2 linked regions of the Cricetulus griseus genome follow. The protein of the gene in region 2 purifies or fractionates together with the protein of the main gene of each other region. This does not show direct contact. Links are inferred from orthologs where the notes say so. Each region holds a gene or a part of one and is shown on either strand. Other genes may lie near its edges. The genes, in order: Dcc and caspase-9-like.

What was found.
Region 1: the proteins of caspase-9-like (region 2) and Dcc purify together in Homo sapiens (co-immunoprecipitation; 3 studies listed by BioGRID and IntAct, with this or other methods). This does not show direct contact. The link is inferred for Cricetulus griseus from reciprocal best matches to the Homo sapiens genes CASP9 and DCC.

Annotation. Positions count from the first base shown.
Region 1 is NC_048595.1:168,280,040-168,283,865, forward strand, and holds part of Dcc (netrin receptor DCC), read left to right. Parts: intron 1-2,447; coding exon 2,448-2,680; intron 2,681-3,826. UniProt on the Homo sapiens protein: Receptor for netrin required for axon guidance. Mediates axon attraction of neuronal growth cones in the developing nervous system upon ligand binding. Its association with UNC5 proteins may trigger signaling for axon repulsion.
Region 2 is NC_048595.1:11,416,588-11,419,758, reverse strand, and holds part of caspase-9-like, read left to right. Parts: intron 1-217; coding exon 218-397; intron 398-902; coding exon 903-1,012; intron 1,013-2,811; coding exon 2,812-2,901; 3' UTR 2,902-3,171. UniProt on the Homo sapiens protein: Involved in the activation cascade of caspases responsible for apoptosis execution. Binding of caspase-9 to Apaf-1 leads to activation of the protease which then cleaves and activates effector caspases caspase-3 (CASP3) or caspase-7 (CASP7).

The sequences.
Region 1 (3,826 bases), about 160 Mb from region 2:
AAGATATCCTAACAGTGGAAGAATCATTAAAGAACAGTTTAGTAGCAAAAGGATGTTTATAGCCCATTACTCAAGAAATTCCTGATGAGAGATTAAAAGAACACTTGCAACATGTGTAGCATATTTTCACACTATGGCTTGCTCTCTGGAATTCCCTTCTCTGCTAGAAATGTAGTTTATCTGCTCTATCCTTAAAGTGGGGACTGAGCACTTAGGACCACTGAAACTGGCCACCATAAAAATGAGTAAATAGTCAAAATAATTATTTATGTAGTTTAAATTGATAAAAGCTATAGAACATAGTGTTATATTATGCAGCAAAATTCTAGAGGGATTGCCATGGAGAATGATGAAAATAAATTGTATTCACTAATATAGAAAATAAAACTTAGCCATTGTCAAAAGTCTCTGGATCACATTACGTCCATAGATAAATCACTACAGACAACATTGCTTTAAATACAGTGGGGTTATTCTGTAGTTGACTCTAAAATATTCAATAAATAACAGCCATGAGCATTTTTATTTAAAAAATCATAACTAGCAGGATTGACTTTTGTCATTTCCTAAATAGGATCAAGACTTTATTACAAAGGATGAGAGACCATGTTTACATAAACTACATGCTAGCCCATGACATGGAGAAGTCAAAAGTAGTTCATACATTAGACTATTCTTCCTCTATTCATAAAATTCTTCTTTCAAAATCAGGCAAAAATACAAATGTGAAAGGCAATACTTGCTGTAGTTTGGCAAGAAACAGTTTTTCCTGCTAAACAAACCTACTATATGACTCAAATTCCTGTAGAGGCTACAGCTTCTTCTGTTCTCTTTTCATCATTTCATCAATCCATTTGACTTTAAAGGAGCCTTTAGTAAGAAGAGACATCAAAAGAAATATGGAAAGCCTGGGCTCTGTCATCAAATTTTAATCCCAGAGCGCTCTCTCTCTCTGTCTCTCTGTCTATCTCTCTGTCTCTCTCTCTGTCTCTCTCTCTGTCTCTCTGTGTCTGTCTCTCTCTGTTTCTGTCTCTCTCTCTCTCTCTCTCTCTCTCTCTCTCTCTCTCTCTCTCTCTTCCTTCCTCTCCCTCTCCTTTCCTTTTGTTCTGTTTCTGTCTTCAGTTTTAAAAATATTTTCTCCAAAACCACAGGCTAGTAACATGCTTAATAATTCATTGGAAAGCAGAGTGGTGAATAGGGGCTGAGAATTTGAAAACCAAGGTAAAGAGGCAGTAATCAACAGACTGGCCAACAACAACTCAGCTTTGAGCTTGGTTATTAAAATAATAAACTGTATAAGCTGCTGCTGCCTCTCTGATCTCATTCCCTTAAATGACTTCAACTGTCCAGTCTTAGAATTCTGTCAGTTTCAAATTTTTGTTAGTGAGATTCCTTACTGCGTCATATAAAGGTCGGTTTTTTATCTGCCATCTATAAATTTGAGTGTCTCAAAATGAAATGATTATTATTACCACAATGTAAGCTTCTGAGATTGTAGTTGTCCCAGCATAGGATAAGTGTAAAGGTTTTAGGAAAGTTTGTACAATCACACATCATTCTTCAGATTCCAATCATGTTATTGATCAAAGCACCTGCATATCTCAGTGGCAATCTCTCATTCTGAAGGTAGTTAATTTGTCTTCCTATCAATGATGTTCATTCTTTCCACTGCACTTGCAGTTTTAGAATCAGGAAGGTAATATAGGAATGCCTGACTGGACTGAAAATGGAACTAACCTATGCATGAGAAAGCAGGAAGATGAGCACTTCTACACTTTAATATTACAACCTAAGAAACCTGCTTACCAGTCCCCATCTGATACTAGCTTGTAGACATCAGATGAATATTGACCCATGTGACCATGCATATGTGCTCACTCTGGCTTTGATAGAATAACTGATATATATATATATATATATATATATATATATATATATATATAGGTTCTTTCATAGATTTTGTGTGTCGACTGAACAATATTTATAGAGATATAATCTAGACAATAGTAAAAGGAATATAAAAACACAGCAAAATCAAAGATAAAGAAGAAAATTAAGATGTCCAATAGCATTTATTTCCATTTCAGAAAAAATCACCAGAAATAACACTTTTATTGTTATTTCAAATATTTGATAAATCATGAAGCTGATAATTTAGTAAACTAAACCTTGTAAGAAACAATGTGCAACAGTCAAACAAGATGGGCTTTTAAGATATACATAATCTATTTAAACATAAATATGAGGAAATACTGTCATTTTTAACATAGCAATACTGTTCTTATTATATTTCATGGTTTAATTAATTGCATTTTTTCTGTTCTTCTCATGTTCCCTTTCATCTTTATTGCCATGCATTTAACTCATTGTGATGTGTTACCACTGGTATTTATTTTAACTCTTTGTTTACACATTCGTTTGTTTCATTTGATGGGTTTTTAACCCAGATCCCACTGACCCAGTTGATTATTATCCTTTGCTTGATGATTTCCCCACCTCGGGCCCAGATGTCTCCACCCCCATGCTCCCACCAGTAGGTGTACAGGCTGTGGCTCTTACCCATGAGGCTGTGAGGGTCAGCTGGGCAGACAACTCTGTCCCGAAGAACCAAAAAACATCCGATGTGCGACTTTACACTGTCCGATGGAGAACCAGCTTTTCTACCAGTGCCAAGTACAAGGTGAAAGTCAAATTGATTGCATGAAATTTAAAATTATCTTCCATGTGTTGTTGTTTTCAATGTATCCTGGCCTGTCGAAAAACACTCTTCTACAGTGATTTTTACGAGGCATTTTAGTAATTGAATATCTAAAGTTAGTTAAGAAGAATTATTCTTTTGGAAATCGACAACAGTTAAGGTAGAAAAATATCAAGAGCTGCAAAATGATGTCTGAATACCACCAGACACTGCCTGAACCTGACTTTTGCTTCTGTAGGAAAGAAAGCCATTTTCCTTGGAAATAACAGGACTCCAATAACATCTTGCGAATAGATACTGATATGATTCCTTTTATTTGGAACCTAGATTGCTCTCTTAATAATACACATACGCACACACACACACACACACACACACACACACACACACACACACACACACAGAGAGAGAGAGAGAGAGAGAGAGAGAGAAAGAGAGAGAGAGACAGAGAGAGAGAGAGACAGAGAGAGACAGAGAGAGACAGAGACAGAGACACAGAGACAGAGACAGAGAGACAGAGAGAGAATAACAGGGAATACATGATGTGAAGATTCCTTATAACATCCTAGGAATGTTTTGAAAGTGATTAACATCAATTTCCTTACTTAGCTTTGAAACCGTCTTCCTGTCATAAGGAAACTCCCTTAAATGAACCAGACTTATACCAGCCTCCTGTTTGTATAATAATTTCCAAATCATTTAATACTCATTCCAGGGAACCTTAGTGATATTTAAGAACAGTCATTTCACTTTTCCATCTCTCTTGCCCAAGCTTGGAGATTCTAACAAAGAGTTACTAGCAAAGAAAGGCATATAGCCTTCTAAATCCCAGACCATGTTAACATGTTTAATTGGTAGACAGTGTCAACAAATTAGAAAGATCAGCATGCACCTGTTCTGTATCTATAACAGTTGTAGATCATTTGTTCTGAAATAAAGATTTAATTCTGCTTACTTCACACATTTAAATTGGAATGCTCCATGCACCCATCTTAATAAATGTGTGCTTGAAAGAAAATCTATAAATGGTTCGCATAAGGTAACTCAGCTGAAAGTTAATAGTTTACAAGATGATAACAGGGAATAAAAAGAAAGTTTAGCACAATAATCTCAGCACTTGGTACTAAA
Region 2 (3,171 bases):
CAGCCTGGTCTACATAGTAAGTTCCCAGACAGTCAGGTCTGCATAGTGAGAACAGCACAGGTGTGCTTTACCATATAGAGCTTCAGTCCTTCCAATGTTGGCAGAGCTCACAGGTGAAGCCTTCAGGTCCAGGCCTTTCCCTTTTCAGGAGAAGTACCTTGTGCTATAGTGTTTCTCCGCCGTTGTGACATTGGGTGTCTGTTTTTGCCCCCTACAGAGCAGAAAGACCATGGCTTTGAGGTGGCCTGCACTTCCTCTCGAGGCAGGGACTTAGACAGTGACTCTGAGCCAGATGCTGTCCCATACCAGGAAGGCCCAAGGCCCTTTGACCAGCTGGATGCCGTGTCAAGTTTGCCCACCCCCAGCGACATCCTTGTATCCTATTCCACCTTCCCAGGTGAGCCCATCTGTGCACTCGCCCTTAGCCCTGGAGGCAGCTATGTCCTGAGGTCTTGTTTCTGCTGGACACAGCCTGTGGGGTCCTTGGCAAGTCACTTCACCTCTCCTAAGCCCCTTCTCAGGGTGAAGCAGGCAATGCTTCAGACTGGCATGTAGATTAAGAATAATAATTCCCGTTGGGGTTAACCTGCAGATTCGACAAGGGAGCGGCTGGCACTTCCCTCAGCACTGTGATGGGCACCTGGTGGCAGGGCAGGGATAAGGTGCATCCTTCAATCTGCTTGAGACCCCTGACTTCTCAGAACCTCGATTTCCATACTGAGAAGATGGGAGCCCCAGGCAGTCAGTGGTGTTGAGGGTGAAAAGTAGCAGGGAGCCACAGGGATGGGGCCGCCTTTGCCACCTGTCCACAAACCACAGTCTGGATCTGGCTGTACCCAGCTTCTTCTGCCAAGGAGAGTGCCACTCCACTGTGTGGCAGAGTTCATCCTGTCTTCCTGCAGGTTTTGTCTCCTGGAGAGACAAGAAGAGCGGCTCCTGGTACATAGAGACCTTGGATGGTGTCCTGGAGCAGTGGGCTCACTCTGAAGACCTGCAGTCCCTCCTTCTCAGGGTGAGTACTTCTTTCTGAGGGCTGGAGGGGCCTGGTGAGCAGGGCAGCAGGCTCTAGTCTGCTGTAAATGCTGATGGGCCCTGGCTGAGAGTCAGGGAGCACGTTGTCTCTCAAATGAGGAATGTCACCATGGCGATGACGTTTGTCCTGTTTGCAAAGTGCCATCTTTTCCCGACTCTTTAGAGACAGATGAGCAGACAGGCATCTGGTTCCCAGAAGACAAAGTGGTCTTAAGTGCCAGGTGGGGTGGCTCAGTGGCAAGAGCATGGTACCCTGAAGCCTGGCCATATGCTTCTCGCTTAGCTCTGTGGCACATCCCCACGTGCTCTCTTTTTAGATTGTTCCAGGTAGCCCAGGCTGGCCTAGAACTTGCCATGCAAAGAGCAATGAACTTGAACTTTTGGTCCTCCTGCCTCTACTTCCTGAGTGCTGGGATTACAGGTGTTAACCACCACACCCAATTTATGCAGTGCTGGGGGTGAAACCCAGGGTGTCACGTATGCTAGATAAGTAATCTCCCAACTGAGCTACATCCCCAGCCCCATGCTATGACTCTTTATCTTCAAGCATTGTGATTCTGTCTAGATTGTTCCCTTCCTGGAGGCCCCAATGAGAATGAACAGGGAAGGGGCGTGGCAGTGCCTTGCTTCATAGCAGCCAGCCACCTCAGGGCACTTGGTTGTACCCATAAGGTGTATACCAGGCTTTTTCTTTTGGCCATCAACCAGCTGTCAAATCATGGAGACTTCTTTTTTTTTTTTTAAAGAAATTTTTTAAATTAAAAAAATTTTTTTTGAAACTTTATTTAATATGCATTGGTGTAAGGATACCAGGTCCCCTAGAACTGGAGTTACAGACAGGTGTGAGCTGCCATGTGGGAGCTTGGAATAGAACCCGGGTCCTCTGGAAGAGCAGCCATTGCTCTTAACCACTGAGCCATCTCTCCAGCCCCCGAGACTTCTTATTAGTTATGAATGCTTGGCTACACTTAGGCTGGTTTTTGTCTAGATCTTTTCCCTTAAATTGACCTGCTTCTCTTTATTTACTTCTTGTCTTTGGGGTTGTCCTTTCCTTTCCTTCTGTATACTTTCACTGCCCTCCTGTGTGGCTGGCAGATGCCTGGCTTCTTGCCTCCAGTGAGACCTCATCTTTCTCCCTCTTTCCTCCAGTTTTTGCTCCTCCCCCTATTTATTCTCTGCCCACCAGGCCTGCCTATCCCTCTCCTTCCTAGCTATTGGCTGTTCAGCTTTTTATTAGACCAATCAGGTGCTGTAGGCAGGCAAGGTGAAACAAATGTGAAACTCATCTTTCATGAGTAAACACACATCCTTACATCATTAACCAGTGCAACATAAACAAAAGTAACACCGATGCACAGTTCAGGTAAACAAAGGCAGCACATCTCTGCCCCCTGAAAAGATTGCTCCACAACAATTAGGGCCCGGTGGGTTTCCACTGCTCTGCCCAGTGCAACCCCTGGGCTCTAGGAGTCACTTCCGGTCCTGCGTGGGGCCCTACAGGACAGAGGACAGCTGAGCAGCTCATGTTGTCTCTGGGTCTCCTCTTCCCCACTTCCTTACCCCTAGCGTTTCTGTCTGATTGGAATTGTGAATTTTTATATTAGAGAAGTTGGATTTTCCATTCTTTCCCAGTAGCTGAGGTGTTTGTTCTATAACCCACCCCAGGAGACTGTAGGTAGGGTCACCTTCAGATGGCCCCTTCAGTGGCCCGCCCCCTCAGTTAAGGCCTCAGACAAGGACACTGAACTCACAGATTGCCCCTGTGATTCTGTTTTGCAGGTCGCCCATGCAGTTTCTGAGAAAGGGATTTATAAACAGATTCCTGGCTGTTTTAACTTCCTCCGGAAAAAGCTGTTTTTTAAAACTTAATGAGACTGGGGCTGCTCCTTGCCTGAATGTTCCCCTAAACCTTCATGGCCTGGAGGTGACTGAGACTGGACTGTCCTGCAAAGCCAGGGTTTTGGAACCGTGGCAGGCCGCTCTCTTCCCTTCTTTGGCAGACAAGCTCCTAACAGCTCCCAGGTTGGTGAGAGAGGCAGAGCATTGGAGGGAGAGGGACAGAGTGCTGTCATTGTCACTGTGTCTCTTCAGCTGAGGTTAGGGACTGTGGCCTGTGACCCCCAGGTCCTCTCTAGAGCA